Linked DNA regions of Arabidopsis thaliana. The protein of the gene in region 4 interacts with the protein of the main gene of each other region in a pairwise test. Each region holds a gene or a part of one and is shown on either strand. Other genes may lie near its edges. The genes, in order: CaS, AT1G11940, TH7 and PERK15.

Region 1 (4,396 bases), on a different chromosome or scaffold from region 4:
TTTTGTTTGTAGTCATGTCTTCATAATTGACTCATATTCTTAAATCTTACAACTTCAGTTTTGTCTTAACTTTTTTTTTTTATTGATCTGTTTTTTAACAATGGTCCTGAATTCTGATGATGCAGTTTTACTTTTGGTTTACATGTATGTATCAAGGTTTGTGTTCCATATGGTCTTTCTTCATCTAGCATTTTTGTTTTTGTTTGTTGAGCCACTGAATCCAACTTGTACTTCTTCAGCTTTGCAGATTAGTAGATCGGTTTTTTTCCTGGCTATGTCTTTTGTCACTACAGACCCTCAACGCTAATTTTGTTCCTGAGCATGGCTATGTTGTTATGAGTTCCTGATATGAAATTTGCTGTGATCTCTTGGTTTCTTGATGCAATGTGTGCTTTTGCTTACTTCTCTGGCTCTTTTAAGTATTACCTACATAGACATTGCATAATTCTAAAACCTTTGCTTTTGCATTACTATGTTCATTCTTGGCAAGTGATAAGGAATCCACGTAGAATAGTATAATACAATCAAAAACTTTGATACATTGCGCAATGAGTGCGTGATGATAACCCTTTAATCAGGATCCAAGTGGTGATATTCACTGATTAATAACCTTCTAGAGAGCCATGCTATACTTCTTGTTCTTTTCGTATTACTATTTATGAAACTGGCTGTTCAAGAAGAATCAAATTCACTCCTTAAACTTTCTTGTTGTAAAAGACACTTTTGTTATAAGTCATTGGTCTTCCTGTGTCCTCTCTTTTTTTCCCTCACCTTTGGCAGCACAGAGAAAAGGTGAGGGAATCTTGTGAAGTGAAAGGATTCCTTAGCTCGTGGGTTTTAAAATTCCTTGGAGCAAAACTTCAAATGGTATCATGATTCCATTTTCAAATTAGGTAAGAAAAGGAGAATCTTGTTCTTTTTCAAGATCAAGACTTGTTATCTTTCTTATATTCCTCACACAAGAGGGGCTGTTAAAATATGAGAAAATACTGTTTCTCTACAATGTTCTTATATAGAATTTGTGATGATGGTAGCACTACTAATAATATGATACCACTCTCTAGGCTGATGCTTTAACAAACATGAACTTAATAGCATAGTTTAAATGGTGAGCTTGCTTGTTTTAAGGTCTAGTAATGGTACTACTATACATTTTGTGGAATTATATACTTGTAAATGCTATGGAACTAGTGATCATGTGTGTTTGCTCGTCTTCCTTCAATCATGGGAAAGTTAATAAAGTGAGTCTATAATTTTACTAGTAGACGGTTGACCAAGTGTAGGTAGTTTACTTCACTTGATCAGCATGCTCAAATCTGTTCAAATTTTTAGGAGAGTAAACAGGAACCACAAGAACGGAACCTAAACCAACATCAGTCCAATTTAAGATACTTGGTTTTGTACGGAATGAAGTTTAATAGCAGTTTTCGGTCTTGGTTCATACAAGATGATGTTTATTGGCTTTGATTGGTAACACAATTTGAGGCGCTTGGAGCGGAGGTTGAACCGCTTCTTTGATTACCAATCGAACTGATGGAACTCATTGTTAGAAGAGGCGGCTAAAACAGATAGCTACTTCGTGTACAACCATAAGCATGTTTCAATGTACAGTATTCATTTTTTGTTGCTCTTATTCTGTAGTACACCTCTGATATTACTGCTACAATGAAATTCTTGTACGACATATATCAAAGTATTGGATTGGCAACGAACGGCTAAGCTTTAACACAAAAATGCCACGTAGGATTAGTCTGACCAATAAGAATCCATCTTTCAAATCCCCTTCCTTCAATCTTAACCAGAAAACTCAATTTATTTATAATCTTTAGAAAAAGGTACTTGAAGAAACAGTTTGCAGACAACATTGAAGAGAAGCTCTAAAGATTCTTTGTCTCTTTCTCTGTCGCATTGATTTGTAAAAAAGTGTGGCAGAGAGAAACCATGGCTATGGCGGAAATGGCAACGAAGTCTTCACTATCTGCAAAACTCACTCTTCCTTCTTCTTCTACTAAGAAGACACTGAGTCTGAGACAAGTCTCTGTTTCACTTCCAACATCAACTTCAATCTCTCTGTTATCTCTCTTTGCATCTCCTCCTCATGAAGCTAAAGCTGCTGTTTCCATTCCCAAGGACCAAATCGTCTCCTCTCTCACTGAAGTATATATAATAATCTCACTTTACTTCTTGAAATGACCAAAATGTCTCCTTTTTGTTGATGAGTGTTCTTGTGTCTTAACAGGTGGAGAAAACAATCAACCAAGTTCAAGAAACTGGTTCTAGTGTATTTGATGCAACGCAGCGTGTGTTCCAAGTAGTAGGAGATGCTCTTAAACCAGCTTTGGACACTGCTTTACCCATTGCAAAGCAAGCTGGTGAAGAAGCTATGAAGCTTGCTTCTCCTGCTTTCTCTGAAGCTTCAAAGAAAGCTCAAGAAGCAATGCAGAGCTCTGGTTTTGATTCTGAGCCTGTCTTTAATGCTGCAAAGGTCAGATTTCTTACATTCAAATATGTATGAGAACATAACAATTTAGGTTTTGGGGTTTAGGGTTTGAAGTGGTTTGTCTGTGTTTTGGTTGGGATGTAGACAGTAACAGATGTAGCACAACAGACGTCAAAAGCGATAGAAGATGCTAAACCGATTGCTTCATCGACCATGGATACGATTTCTTCAGCTGACCCTAGTGTCATTGTTGTTGCTGCTGGTGCTGCGTTTCTTGCTTACCTTCTTCTCCCTCCTGTTTTCTCTGCCATCTCTTTTAACTTCCGTGGTTACAAAGGTACCTCAAGACTCCATATAGATCATCTTGAGAACATATATAAGTTTTTGATTTGGTTATTAGTGATCTATTTTGTATCTAGAGTCTAATTCACCATAGCAAAATGCTGACAATTACTCTGTGTTTCTGGTTTGTGTTTTTTTAATAAAGGTGATCTTACGCCGGCTCAAACGCTTGACCTTCTTTGCACCAAGAACTACTTGATGGTGGATATAAGATCAGAGAAAGACAAGGAGAAAGCCGGGATTCCACGGCTCCCTTCGAATGCTAAGAACCGCGTGATCTCCATTCCGTATGTGTCTATCTAACTTTGATAATTCTTTTCATTATTATTATACTCAAAACATTGAACCTGTTCTTGTGATTATCAGATTAGAAGAACTACCAAACAAAGTAAAAGGAATCGTGAGGAACTCTAAACGAGTTGAAGCAGAGATAGCAGCATTAAAGATTTCTTACCTCAAGAAAATCAACAAAGGCTCCAATATCATCATCTTGGACTCGTGAGTTTTGATTATTACTCTTTTACAAGACCTTTTTTGTGAATCTTGCTTAATCTTTATTGGTCTTTTTGGCTCGTAGGTACACGGATTCGGCTAAGATAGTGGCGAAAACGTTAAAGGTTCTCGGGTACAAGAATTGCTATATTGTGACAGATGGATTCTCTGGTGGCAGAGGATGGTTGCAGAGCCGTTTAGGCACTGATTCTTACAACTTCTCGTTTGCACAAGTCTTGTCTCCATCGCGGATTATCCCGGCAGCTTCGAGAAGCTTTGGCACTAGGTCCGGAACCAAGTTCCTTCCTAGCTCCGACTGAAAACAGAGGATATATATAGTTTTACAAGTGTTGTTTAGTATTCCTTTATTTCTCAACTTTGAGAGATCTTTTGATAAGATAAGATTTTCGAATTACTTACTTACTTGTCTTTTACATTGATGATCATATATGGAAAAGATTACATCAAACTGAAGTAGTAGCTAATCATCTAAAAGAAAAAATGTATGATCAAAAACCGGGATGAGTTTGGCCTATAGTGGTAGGAAAAAATTGGGATAAAGACTAAATTCATAATGAGTTATGGACAACTAATTGTAATATCACATAGATGCACAATCATTTTGGACCATCTGGTAGGTGTGTGTGTGTGGCCTAGCCTTATCACTTAGTGGGATTGCCAATAGCTTTTTGCCGAAAATCCATTTTACAAATGGTTGAAGATAATAAAAATTAGACAAGTTTTTTTTTTTGTGGAGTTTAGTTTAGTGCTTTCAATCATGTGAAAACCAAGATATAAATTTTGAAAACTATTATAAATATTGTGCAATAGTTGAAGTATATACAAACTATTTTTAATCAAAATGTTGTCTAATTAATATTAATTGTAACACCGGTCACTCCGAATTGTAACAAAATTGTCTATTTTGCTAACGGATTCTACACCAAATTAAATAAAATTTATATAGACTAACATATATTGCTCTACTGATCCATACAATCTAAATTGATAGTGTATATAGACTGAAATCAATAAATAAAAGACATAAACCAAATAAGATGATGATCAAAAGTCGAAAAGAGAAAGCAAAAAAAAAAGGTGTAAGAGATCAGTACCACTACA
Region 2 (5,069 bases), about 15 Mb from region 4:
TTTTTTTATGATTGCTAGGCTTAGCTCGAGTCGGTTGGGAATTTTTTTAATGGTTAAGATTTTTGAACTTAAAAGATTCAGAGAGATTTTTATAAAAATGACAATGCCAATACTATGGATTTGGAATAATTGCATTGTTGTAGCCCAATTAAAAAAATGTTTTTTTTAAGCTAATTTTAGTGAACAAATTTTTTCAAAAAATGTGGCCCAATTGAGCTCAACTACCGTCCAACGGCTCGTCGTTTGACTCATTTCTATGGAATCATCAGATTTGCAAAAGAAGCTTAGAATTCCGACGAACTAGGCCCAGTCCGCCCATAAAGCAACCAAAACATGTGCTTTACGCTACCAACTATAAAGAAAAATGTAAGGTCACTTGTTTAAAAAGTTTGTTTTGGTTAAGTGTTTATGTACTTCATTATTGTGTGTTCGAGTCCTTGAAAATTTTAGTTTTTTTTTAACAATTTCCAGGAGAATGAGTAAAAGACATCAATCCAGAGTAGAATTTGCTATTAACATATTCTATTAATCGAAGCCAGTTTCTTCAGACATATACACATAGAAATTTTAACACCCAAACACAAGATTATCCATGAAGAATGATTATTAGTTTTTACTAAGCGTCATATATAATCATAAACCATTAAACCTCATGAGGGATGTTTGTAATGTATCAATGCTATTCCTACTCTATGTATACGCTCTGTTGCTTGACCTACTTGCTTACACTGTTGCAAAGTTATAAGGTTTTGTTTGCTGATGATCCTATTAGTCCTTCACTCACAATGCGCATAGCAGCTTCATTCGTGAACTTCCTTGCAAAGAGAAAGCATGGGACGGGTTTCGAATCCGCCTTACACCATTCCGTTCGAGATTCAGACTCGTAATAGACATGGTCTATTTTCTGTCCCGAGAAAAGCAAAAGAACTAGAGAGATTACTTAGGGATTCATTCGGTTGTGATATTAATCCTCTGAACAAAAAGATTGTACCTTTATTTCTTTTATTTCCTCAGGGCCGGAGTTTTCCAATGTGAAAGTGACGGGATGCCAAGATTTGGCTTCATATTTTGTACCTGAAACGTTCCATACAGTGTATGTCACTGTTCTTCGTTCCATTTCACTCTCTAGTCCTTGCATCTGAAATGGTCAGTTTGTAATACATTAACAATATGGAACTTTTTAGATGGAAACAAAAATGAGAGAGATGTGTATCAGATATGATGGTCACCGTAAGCAATGTTTGCACATAGTGTTCATCGGGGATGCAGTTGCGTCGCTTCTGTTTCTGAGTTCACATCAAACGTAATAAAAGTTTCCCCATTTGTTTAATAAAGAAAGAGGTTAATCAATGGAGAGAAGTATTCATAGACTACAGAAAAGACACTGTTGAGATTGTTTTGAAACCAACACAAAGAATCAACATAAACATTCAGGCTGGTATTAAATGAAAAATACCAACTTTGAAATAGCACTTACAAGAAACAACCATGCCTCATTGGTACCTAAAGGTGGACATCTCTGCAAATCGAAAGAGAAATCAAGAAGTAAGTTATTGTTTCTTCAGCAACAAAGAATCAAGATTGAAATTAAAGTCATGATCATAAAGCTTAATCTTTACCTTGCAGAATTCCTTAAAAACTGGGAATACGATACCATCATTTACAATGACCTCTGCATGACTTCTGATCAAAGCTATCCACTGCAATAGATAAAACTAAGATGAGATTAAAAACTTCATGAACTTTAAAAGGTCCCTATCCTCCTAATGCTTAAATTTTCACAAGAAACTCAGGCTTCAAAAATCTTGGTAGCAATGTTCATTTCCTAAGCAAGAAAATGAAGATACCTGGGATCCTTTTCGCCATTTCTCTTCAGGTATGACAGGAGACATTTTCACACTGTACCGTGTCTCTTTAGTATGAAGAAAACTGCCAATAGAGAGCAACAAACATAGTTATCAACATCTAGACAACTCCTCTTATAATACACCAGTTATCAGGCCATATATATCAAGTATGAAGTACTAAGAAACCTCATAAATTCAGACTTTCAATCTACCTATCCACAAAACTCCTCGGTGAAGAGATAAGATATTTGTATATATAGCCAAAGTCATATAATGGAGCACATCTGCAAAACAGAAAGTAGATGAAAATGAAATAAGTCCGTACAAACCACAAATGTGCTCAAAGTCAGATGCAATAAGTGGTCAGGCATAAGATGATCTGAAAGAGTAATGCTGAAAGAAGCAAACCTGTCAGAGAGAAGAACAAATCTTTGATTGGAGTGATCCTCTAAAGCAGATGCAAGCAACAATCTTTCTGCTTCAATCATGCTTGATTCTCCCCATACTACCTATAACCATAACAACACCACCCTAAGTTTCACTATAAAAAAACATCAAATGGAGAAATTCTCATGAACACTCACCTTAATGCTATTGTTCAATTGGCGATTATAGAAATACTGTGATCGTGTAGTTTCTTCATTGAACACGAAACCAGGTACTGAATGTATATAAATTGAGAAATTCGCATGATCCACTCCCTGCAAAATCACCAGAATCAGCAATTTTTTCGAAATTTAGAATAACGGACAAGTATTAATAGGACTAAGAATCTTTTTTGACCTTGAAGAATCTATCCCACATAAAATCAAGTGGGAGATCACGGCGAGCTAAGAAAAGGAAAGCGAGCTTGGGACGATCACCGGAGTATTTGTGAAGCGGTGTCTGAGATCTCGCGACGGAGAGTGGAAACGACAATGTCGTGAAGGAATTGTACTGTAGTTGGATTCGAAGAAGAGCAAGAAGGCAAAGCGCGACGGAGAAAGCGATTACGAGTTTCCATCCCAGCCACACGACGCCGCCGCGACGGGACAATGGAGGCGGAATCTGCGGCTGTGATTTCTTCGTCATTGTACTACGATCACTCACCGTCGTACGATCAACATTCGAGTTAGAGAAACGAACAATCACAAGTCTTTTTAGGGTTTTTGAAGTCAATAAATTTCTCAGGAGAGAAACGGAAACTGAAGAATTGCAAATTACAACATTTTGGATTTTGAGAGAAAGAGAGAAAGAAAGGTAGAATGATGTTGATAGTTCGACGTATAAACTTGTAAACGACGTCGTAAGCCACGTACACGTTTTAAGTTAGTTGGGACCCACGTTAAATTAGAACATCATTAAATTGTTGTCCGAAATTGAAATTGTCAGAAAATGGTATGAAAATTATACAATTTGACTAGGAATATTAATTATTGTATTTCCTTCTATACAATTAGAAAAAAAAAAAAAATACCTTAAAACAAAACCTTTGGAAATTAATGTATTAAGTCATTTTAAAACCTTTGAAAACAAAACAATCCATATTTACTGCAGTAAAAATTTGCAAGCAACAACTGAACCAATTGTATTTGCTACTATGAATCTATGATGCTCTCATATCATAAACTTTCATTTGCTCTCAAAATGATGTAAAGATACAAAACTATACAAAAGAAGCTTACATCAAATATTCATTCATATGCCAAAACAGACCGGAAAAGGAAAAGTTACATCAAAATCCCATTTGAAAAAAAGGAAATCATTCTTTTCAAGAGACACTTGTCTCTTTTACATACATATATCACAGCAAAAGCCAACTACAATAGCCATGGCTTTAACAATTCTACAAAATCTGCTGTTAATCCTACAACAACAAAGCTATAGAGCTTTTAGCTGCGATCTAGCAATAATGTCTCCACTTCTTTCAGAGCTTGTTCAACTGCATAGATCACCATCTTTTTTATCTGTTCACATGGCAAAGATTAAAACAAGATTCAACTACAAACAAAACTGTATCCATTGACAGAAGTTGCTAATCCAAAATTGAAAATATCAGAAAAAGAATCACCTCAAGTTTGTCTTCTCTGGCTTTATGGTTCTTAGGGAGTTGTCGAAACTCATCAGTCAAACGGAGACACTCATCGATGTTTTCAGGGGAAACAAAATCAACAGCTACCTTTGTGCACGACTGTATCAAAATCCATAATACAAGTTAAAGATAATGAGAAAAAGTTTAGTTAATAGGACAGCTTCCATTCAAATAATAACCTTGAGATTCCGAACTTGATGAGGACAACCTGCTGGAATAAACACTGCTTCTCCTAGCTTTTGCACAAATGTCCATGGCTCAATCCCTTTAGTTCAAACAAACAAACACAAAAACGTAAGAATACAATGTCGGTAAGTGACAGTTACTACAGTTACAAGTAACCATACCAAATTCTGCCTTGAGTTTTCTTTTATGCTCCACGGTTAAGAAATATGACTGATCATGTATTGGATGATACACCTAACATAAAGAATCCTATCAGCACAATAACCTCTAAGACTCGGAACTGAAAACGTTTTGTGGATTATTTCTTACCTTTGTAACACGAGAGCAATAAGTATGTCTGAATTCTATGCAATGCTTCCTTAGATACTCTTCAAGCTTAGGAACATCTTCTCTTTTAAAGATGTCCCAAAGTGCACCACTTGTTTCATCATAAACCACAATCTCATCACTCACAACCTCTTCTTCCTCTAAACCATTTTGCTCCTGAAGCTCTTTCTCATTCTGTTGCTTATGTTTCTGTTTCAAATCTGCAATTGCAGACCTTTGCTCCTCACTTAGTGTTACTTCAGCAGTATGCATCAGAATATTAACCTACAAAAACAAAAAACCGTTATACACCTGAGAAACCGTATTATTATTTAACAGTACTAAGTAACAATTCTGAAACTTACAGCATCTGACATATCACAGTGAAGCTTAGTGACTGAATCTCCTCTACCGAGCTCATCTGAAGTCCCATATGCAACATAAGTTTTTGGACCAAGATCTGGTTTAAGAAGTCCTTCAGGAAGTTTTGTAGCAATGTTGAGAATTCCTGATCTAGGATCGCTGTATTCTTGAAATGGTAATGCGGAAATGAACTCATCGCAGTGACGAGGTAAAAGGTTTTCAAACTTGTCTGAAGGAGGCCAATCCTTCAGCTTCAGCATCTCAGGCCAGAAGTTTTCATATGTTCTTCCTTTGCT
Region 3 (3,272 bases), 2.5 Mb from region 4:
CTCTAAAGAAGGTTCAAAGAGAGGAGATCTAAGAATCAACTTTGAGATATGTTTCCCCTCGAGGCTAACATCGGAACAGAAGACAGATCTCAAGAGAGTTCTTGGTGGTAGCTGAATTGGCAACTAGTTTCAAGAAAGCTCTTGAATTCAAAAGGTCAATTCAGTGTACATACATATACAGAATTGATCGGTTTTCGTTTTTGATCTCATATCTTGATCACGAAATAGTAAGCAGAATTGATTGTTTTTTGTTGTAAAAGCTATCTTTGTTGTTATCTAATTTATTCTGCTTTCATAAGTTATATATGTAACTCTCAACTTCATACAAGCTCTTCGAAAATGTTATGTAACGTTTGTTTTTTTCCATTTAGTATTTTAACATATACTTGGAATGGGACTCTTTTTTTTTTTTTTTTATGGTATAGTTCTTTTAGTCGCCATACTCACATTACCATTGTTATGTTGTTTTGCTTACGTTGGGGTGATTAGATTTCATACAAATATAACTACAACATTTTTGTTAATTGTTTTCATTTTTGACATTATTATTTATATTGTTTTGAGAAATTAAACAACAAACCAGAAACCCAACTTCAAACAATCAATTCAGAACAGACATTCAAAAGTATAATAATCATTTTTTTGTAAGGGAAAAGAAAAAACTTAAACCCTATGTTGTTCAATCTTCTTCACGAGCTCATCAGGTTTGGCTCCAACAACCCTATCAATCTCTTCTCCTCTCTTCACAAAAACAAAAGCTGGAAGTGTAATAGCTCTATATGTCCCAGCCACATCCTGGAATACATACCAATTATAGCTTAGTCTTGAAACCATAAGATGATTCTTCTTCAAGTAATAAAAAAAAAGAGTAATTACCATTAGCCTATCCACATCAACCCTAGCAAACACAGCTTCTGAGTACTTTGAAGCAATCTCCCTAACTCTAGGTTCCATTGCTTTACAAGGTCCACACCATACAGCTGTGAAATCAATTACTAGCTTCAAAACCACAATAATTTTTTCAGTTAGTTTAAGAGAAAAAACATGTCATTTACTTGTAAACAAAATTAGAAAACACAAATAGTATAAGATTTAAAACAAACATTATAAGTTTGGTTAAAAAAATTTAATACGTTTTAGGTAGTTTTCGAGTAATGTATACCAATTTGTTTGAGCCTTTCATGGAATCAAAGAGAGATTTCCATTGTCTTCTTGATTCGATTTCCACAACAAATCCATTACTGGTAATTTCCATTGATGAATGAACATCATGCACAGATGAAACATTGGAACCCATTATCTTCGGAATGTGTATGTATGAAGAAATGGTGTTCACTTATTTGCTAGTGATATACTGATATGCAAAGAAGAGAGACAAGGAGGAGCATTATATAGCTTTTAATCGGAGAACTTAATTTGTTGGTTATAAATAAATAAGTAAATGCAAAGGAATATGATTCAATTTGCTATCCTTCTTTAGTTCTAGCCGTTGATTTTTTTATTTTTTCAAGAATATATAGCTTATACCAATTTAGTTTCGCTTTGTGTTTTTAAAATTCCAGTTAGTTGTTAAATATTCTCCACTACATAAAAATATAGCTGGTTGCAAGGAACTAGCTTGCCTATCACATTTGCAAACGAATTTTTTATTTTTGTGGGTGGATAACAATCCGCGGCGGATCGATTTTCTAATTAAAAAATGGTAGCCTAGGTACTTGATTTATTAGTTTAGATTAATTAGTTATTGTCAACGCTATAAATTAAAAGTAGTTAAAATTTGTTTTGTTTAAATAATATATGCACCATCCACTTCAAGGATCTAATACCTATATAATATTAATGCTATTAATTACTATAAAAATAAAAATGTCACATGGCAGGAGAGTTTCTAATGAGAACTCATTTTTATTTTTTTCCTAATTGATGGTGATACTCTTATGTCTTTACTGAAATCTTTAATTTACATTTACATAAAACTTTACAGAACGAAATTAGATTAGAATAAAACGAGAAAAAAATTTGCAAAATGACCATGCATGTCATTGTAAATTTGTAATGTTGTTTGGTGTGTCCGTGTGTAAGAATATTGATTTGTGTTAAAAAGAAGCTGTCATCAAATTCTTCCTCAAGGTCCTTCTTATTCCATTTCAGTACTTATAGGAATCATTGTCGAAAATGAGTTTGAAATTAACAATTTATTCGATACTGGGGGACAAGAAATGCACGTCGTAGCCACGAACATCATCTTTAACTTTTTGCCCATAAACTTTCACATCATCCTCTTATAATTCTCATTCTCAAGGAACTAGGAATGCTGATTCAAAAATACAGTTCGGTGATGCTCGAATATCTTAAATTTTAGAACATATTGTTGGGGTTTAAGATCTCGATTTGCAAATATTAATTTGAAACCATTTTTTGGTCTGATTTCTAATAAAATTGAAACACCACTGTTTTATAAGAACTAAAAAAAACTTGTAGAAATGTTGCATCAAAGTATGCTTTATAAAACATTAAATATATATATGTTGGGATCAAAATATGCATATATATATATTATATATATATATATATGAAGGCGTTATCAAAGAAATACAACAAGTTTTTTAGAAAACTGAAAACATTAAGGAATACTTCTTAAATTTGTAAGTACCCTTCCTAAGACTTTCTTTCCCTTACTTTTACTGTATTTGGAATTTTGGAATTGTGTAGTTTAAGACTTAAAAGAATTCTCAAATATTTATTGTACTGGTAATTCATAAAGTAAACTAATCACGTTTAGATATTTAAACATGTGTAGAAAATCGTTTTTAATTTAGATTTTGCCTTTGAATTTATTCATTTTTTAATCATAATTTATCGATAATATTACACATGACTTTCTTAAAGGTTGCATGAGTTCTGCTACCCACATATTTCTTTATTCCTAGCTCGATCTATAAAGATTCTAATATAAGTTTTTCCACAATCTAAAGAATTTTATTCCATGAAATCGTATCCATACAATTTTATATTGTTGATTTTCTCTCTTTTTAATTTATGTAGGAAGAGTAACACAATTAGTTCAATACCTCTGTATTTACTTTTCTGCTACTAAGCAATATATTACAGTTACTTATAAAATAGTTCTGTATAATAGTTCAATAAAGTTAGTTATATTTTTGCAAACAGAAAGTGTGAAAAAGATACAAGAGCAGAAGAAACGATTCTTAAATACAAGTGCAAGTGCTTTTTCCTTGAAATATACGGTGATTTGAATCACAAACCTTCTT
Region 4 (5,231 bases):
CGGATTGCGATTGTGGTCTTACTGTCTTAGTCTGCATGAATGCTTTGATTTTATGAATTTCCATGGACACCAACAATGTTTTTCATGCAATTTGCTTAATCAAGGATAATATGCTAAGAGTTCTATAATATGTATCTTTGTGACCAATTAAAAATGTGGTATGTATTTGGTTGAACCTAAGTGATCGTTACAAAACATCGAAAACATTTATTTTCTTTAAAACCTAAAATACATTTGATCTAGTGATAGCGAAGCGAATTGTAGAATAAGCGGATTAAATAATAGGGTGTGATTAGTTTTGAACAAGCGAAGTAGAATAATGTATAAAAGGTAAGAGTAGTTTTGAAAATGGATATTCTAAAAATGAAATTTCTCAAATATTCTACAAAAACTTATGTAAAAAATGTTTTTTTAACACTGGATGACAATTCTTTGAACCACACCACACCTAATTTTTTTTTTCTTCCTCGTTTTGAACGTAACAAAAATTATTTTGCATAACTCAACCTATAAAGAACCAACAAAAACAACCATTGTGTGAAACCCAAGAAAAAAAAAAATGCATTTCTTTGTTGACTCTTGGTTATCACAAAATGGTTCGTGTTGTTTGCTGTTTTGCAATTTACTATTGAGCTGTGACTTGAAATTTGATATGGTTTAATTCGAAGTTGTTTTGGTTTCTATTCGTACCAAAGACAAATACGATTATTTTTCCCAATTAACCTTATCATTAAAATGATCTTGAGATTGCATTGCCAAATCTATATAAATTTTTTTGATGCATAACAAAGCAATGGATTTCCATTATTAGTAATCCTTGATTCACAGATTTTGTCTTGAAAACATTGTTGGATGAGATTTCGTTTTGTGTTTTTCCTTGTGAAAACGTAATTGTTTTCGGTTATTATATTTCTTCTGTCAAATATATATGGTTCCTGATAATTGCTTCCATTGATTACCTACTTGTCGTCCGTACCCTACCACATTAATTGTTTTTCTTTTTATTATGTAAATGATTAACATAAAAAAAACTCCGGAAGCATAGGATTGGTTAATAAACCGGGTATCTGGCTGGCTTCACCGCGTACAATTTATTGAGCAAACAAAAAATAGAAGGAGAATGCATATACCAAGATACAATACTTGGAAAATGATGTGGAATTAGTTGTTCAAAGAATTCAATAATTCTCAACTTGATGGGTACCTTAGGGAGAGATACAATCCACAAACCAAAGATCACGGTAAATAGTAGTACTAGTATGTTTTTTCATATCTTTTGTTGGTCCCTTTGATTCTTTTTTACTTTTAAAGACAAAAAAATTAATGGCAGACAAGACAATGTGAATATACTTATGTAGTCGTGCTTGTTTTTATACAGTAGTAAGTATAAATTTGATTAGATAATTTTACTATATACATTATAATATTAATTTTACAAAATAAATTTGATTTATAGTTTTAAAAAAATTTTAGTTATAAAAACACCATAAAAATTAGATCTAAAAATTATTTTCATGAAATCGGATTTTTCCGAAACAATTTTACTGTGGATTAGAAAGTCGGAATTTGATTCCATCGATTTTTTATTTTTTTATTTTTTGCAAAAAAATCCGATCGAATTGAATATTTACTAGACTAATTTTTTTTGGCTGGACTAGTTTTTCTCTAAAATTAGTCAAACTTGAAAATATAGGCTAGTTTAGTCCGTATAAAATAAGTTCTAATTTGACATATTGTATCGAGTCATCCAAAATCATATAAAAAATTGTGTATAAAAATTTTAAAATTTTTTTTTTAAAAAAAAAAAGCAAAAAAGTTGACTTATATGGTAAATTTTTCTTAAAGATTCTAAAAATCATTAGTAAATTTTATTATTTTAAAAATGTTGACTTAATGATTATATTTTTAAATAAAAAACATAAGATGAATTTGGCTCTTTATTAGTTCTTCTTTTGATGGTTGGTAAGTGTTAACTGACTAACTGAGAAACAGAGTGACGAGAGAATTAAAGAGACACTTGCCAGAAGAACAAATCTCTCAAGTGGGACGGGACCCACCGCATGTCCCTTTCTTCATTCTCCTTCGTCTTCGTCTTCTTCGTCTTCGTCTTCGTCTTCACTTCCGCCATGAGAAAAACCTGCACACACGCCTGAAAAACCAAATCATCCTCATCATCTTCTGATCTAATGTCTACCGACACTATCCCTTCCCTCTCATCTCCACCGGCGCCGGAGTTTCCTTCCACCACACCAGACACGGCGACGTCACCAGCTCCGTCTCAGCCATCCATCATCGGACCTTCTTCGTTGGCTCCGTTTCCGGAGACAACAACAAACATTGATGGAGGCTCGAGAAATGTAGCATTAACTGGACTTATTACTGGAGTAGTTCTCGGAGCTACGTTTGTCCTACTCGGAGTTTGTATCTTTGTCTGTTTCTATAAAAGAAAGAAGAGGAAGTTAAAGAAGAAGAAGAAAGAAGATATCGAAGCTTCTATTAACAGAGACTCACTAGATCCCAAAGGTACTTTATTTAGGGTTTCTTTATTTCCAAAGACTCAATCTTTTTTTAATGATTATTCAATTCCTCTGTTTTTGTAGATGATAGCAATAATCTTCAGCAATGGAGTTCATCAGAGATTGGACAAAACTTGTTTACATATGAAGATTTGTCTAAAGCAACTAGTAACTTCTCCAACACTAACCTTCTTGGACAAGGTGGGTTTGGTTATGTTCATAGAGGAGTTCTTGTTGATGGAACTTTGGTTGCTATTAAGCAGCTTAAATCTGGAAGTGGACAAGGTGAACGAGAGTTTCAAGCTGAGATACAGACTATTAGTAGAGTTCATCATAGGCATCTTGTTTCTCTTCTTGGTTATTGTATCACTGGTGCTCAAAGATTGCTTGTTTATGAGTTTGTGCCTAATAAGACTCTCGAATTTCATTTACACGGTGAGTTTTTTTTAAAAGACTTGTTTTCAGTTATGCTTGCGTGAATTCCCGCAGTTTTGTTTGAATTATGGTGGTTGTTTTGTAGAGAAAGAGAGACCGGTAATGGAGTGGTCAAAGAGGATGAAGATTGCTTTGGGTGCAGCTAAAGGATTGGCATACTTACATGAAGATTGTGAGTATAATGTTCTTGTCTTTGAGTATTGTACAACATTAGTTTCTGAAGTTTTTGTCAAGGAGATTTTGTTTTGTTTCAGGTAATCCTAAGACAATACACCGCGATGTCAAGGCTGCAAATATTCTAATTGACGATAGCTATGAGGCGAAGGTATTCTTGAACTTGTAAAACTATATAAAAATGTTGTTTAGACTGCACTACTAATAATGCTGAACTTGGTTCATCAGTTAGCAGATTTTGGACTTGCCAGGTCTTCTTTAGACACTGATACTCATGTCTCCACTCGGATTATGGGAACCTTCGGGTACGAAACACTCTTTTCTATACGCAACCATAACCATAATAAGTTCATAACATACTAACAATCTTTTAAACTTCTTTCTTGTGATGCAGTTACTTGGCTCCTGAATATGCTTCTTCAGGGAAACTTACTGAGAAATCAGATGTCTTCTCAATTGGAGTGGTGCTTCTTGAACTGATAACCGGACGCCGTCCTGTTGATAAATCACAGCCTTTTGCTGATGATGATAGCATCGTTGATTGGGTTGGTTATCTTGTTTCCCTTACCACCACTTTTAATAAGCTTTTAAACTTTACCTCATGCTCTAGGCAAAACCTCTGATGATACAAGCGTTAAACGATGGAAACTTTGACGGTCTTGTTGACCCGCGGTTAGAGAATGATTTTGATATCAACGAAATGACGAGAATGGTTGCTTGCGCTGCTGCTAGTGTCCGTCATTCAGCTAAACGTCGCCCAAAAATGAGCCAGGTACTAACTATCACATCAAAACCTTTTGGCAACATTCAATCTAACACTAGGATAAAAAATGAAACTTTGTGAGTTCAATGGTGTCATTGTTCTTTGGACAATTGCAGATAGTTCGAGCATTCGAAGGAAATATATCTATAGATGACCTAACAGAAGGAGCTGCCCCAGGACAAAGTACTATTTACAGCTTAGACGGGAGCTCAGATTATAGCTCAACACAATACAAAGAAGACTTGAAGAAATTCAAGAAAATGGCGTTCGAAAGCAAAACATTTGGTAGCAGCGAATGCAGTGGTTTGACTAGCGACAATGGTCAGAACCCATCAGGCTCGTCTAGTATCACCGAAGGCCAACGTACAACGCAGGAGATCGAACCGGAGAAGAATACCAAGGACACATGAACTTTAAACAGAGGATTCTTGGTAATAGTTAAGTCTTATCATTTTGGGGTAGGACCCGTAGGTTTAGGTGTAAAACACATTATTCATTAGACGCGCTTTCACTTTTAATTATTTCCATGTGTGGCTCTAATCGAAACTGTCATGAGCCTGATATTGCACGTGAATATTATTTGTTGGAGATTTTTTTGAGTTTGGTGTGAAGATATTAAATTAGATTCAATCAAAGACTTTATGATTCTTAATTATTTTTTGGCCGTGATATATTATTTGAGTGGAAAGTTATTTTTAACATCTTTGATTCTTTTTTTAAAGCATGTTTTCTTTTGTTATCCATGCAACTTTGAAGAAATTGTTTTTTTTTTTGCAAATGAAATCCCATATATATATTAACCGATTTTAGATTCAGAGAAATAATATTTTTATAAGCATGGTGTTTGATTTTTGGTTGAAGGAGTAATTATTAGTATAGTTAGTACATAAGTCAATGGTAATTAACAAAACATTTGATAAAGTAAACATAATTAGACCGTTTGAAGATTTCTTCAAGTATAATTAATTAATTTTTTAAATTGTTTATAATAAGATTAGTTAATGACTAATTAAAGGAGGGGCAATTTTGGGAAAATAAAAGATTTTAAAATAGTAACTTTGCTGTTATTTAGCTAATACAGTATATACTTTTTCTGTAAATCACACGAAGAAGAAGAACCAAAAGAGAGAGATTGTGAAAGAAGAAAACAGAGACAGTTTCTTCGCTGAAAAGAAAAACCAAATCAGCTAAATCCCTAAAAGTTTCCGTCAATGTCTTCTCGCCGGAGAGTTCTTCTCAAGGTTATCATTCTCGGTGATAGCGGGTAAATTCTCTCATCTCTTCAGATTTCAGATTTGATGTGGTTTTATTTGTTCATTGAATGATGAGATTTTGATTCTTTT

The links.
Region 1: the proteins of PERK15 (region 4) and CaS interact in a protein complementation assay, tested with the Arabidopsis thaliana proteins (one large-scale study listed by BioGRID).
Region 2: the proteins of PERK15 (region 4) and AT1G11940 interact in a protein complementation assay, tested with the Arabidopsis thaliana proteins (one large-scale study listed by BioGRID).
Region 3: the proteins of PERK15 (region 4) and TH7 interact in a protein complementation assay, tested with the Arabidopsis thaliana proteins (one large-scale study listed by BioGRID).

Annotation. Positions count from the first base shown.
Region 1 is NC_003076.8:7,735,958-7,740,353, reverse strand, and holds CaS (calcium sensing receptor), read left to right. Parts: upstream 1-1,818; 5' UTR 1,819-1,941; coding exon 1,942-2,157; intron 2,158-2,239; coding exon 2,240-2,485; intron 2,486-2,584; coding exon 2,585-2,777; intron 2,778-2,927; coding exon 2,928-3,069; intron 3,070-3,148; coding exon 3,149-3,280; coding exon of another isoform or gene 3,281-3,284; exon of another isoform or gene 3,285-3,359; coding exon 3,360-3,594; 3' UTR 3,595-3,836; downstream 3,837-4,396. UniProt on the Arabidopsis thaliana protein: Modulates cytoplasmic Ca(2+) concentration and is crucial for proper stomatal regulation in response to elevated levels of external Ca(2+).
Region 2 is NC_003070.9:4,031,029-4,036,097, forward strand, and holds AT1G11940 (Core-2/I-branching beta-1,6-N-acetylglucosaminyltransferase family protein), read right to left. Parts: upstream 3,128-5,069; 5' UTR 2,919-3,127; coding exon 2,631-2,918; intron 2,549-2,630; coding exon 2,432-2,548; intron 2,357-2,431; coding exon 2,256-2,356; intron 2,132-2,255; coding exon 2,060-2,131; intron 1,930-2,059; coding exon 1,848-1,929; intron 1,701-1,847; coding exon 1,620-1,700; intron 1,520-1,619; coding exon 1,478-1,519; coding exon of another isoform or gene 1,442-1,477; exon of another isoform or gene 1,287-1,441; coding exon 1,230-1,286; intron 1,139-1,229; coding exon 992-1,138; intron 905-991; coding exon 740-904; 3' UTR 506-739; downstream 1-505. Other genes in the region: AT1G11950 (Transcription factor jumonji (jmjC) domain-containing protein), read right to left, coding at 3,719-3,793, 3,898-4,017, 4,098-4,183, 4,266-4,338, 4,414-4,695, 4,776-5,069.
Region 3 is NC_003070.9:21,952,096-21,955,367, forward strand, and holds TH7 (thioredoxin H-type 7), read right to left. Parts: upstream 1,386-3,272; 5' UTR 1,298-1,385; coding exon 1,163-1,297; intron 1,000-1,162; coding exon 877-999; intron 796-876; coding exon 664-795; 3' UTR 502-663; downstream 1-501. Other genes in the region: AT1G59725 (DNAJ heat shock family protein), read left to right, coding at 1-115. UniProt on the Arabidopsis thaliana protein: Probable thiol-disulfide oxidoreductase that may be involved in the redox regulation of a number of cytosolic enzymes.
Region 4 is NC_003070.9:19,469,318-19,474,548, reverse strand, and holds PERK15 (Protein kinase superfamily protein), read left to right. Parts: upstream 1-1,966; 5' UTR 1,967-2,186; coding exon 2,187-2,523; intron 2,524-2,600; coding exon 2,601-2,951; intron 2,952-3,036; coding exon 3,037-3,123; intron 3,124-3,205; coding exon 3,206-3,276; intron 3,277-3,353; coding exon 3,354-3,430; intron 3,431-3,519; coding exon 3,520-3,670; coding exon of another isoform or gene 3,671-3,735; coding exon 3,736-3,897; intron 3,898-4,004; coding exon 4,005-4,298; 3' UTR 4,299-4,729; downstream 4,730-5,231. Other genes in the region: RABG3d (RAB GTPase homolog G3D), read left to right, coding at 5,100-5,152.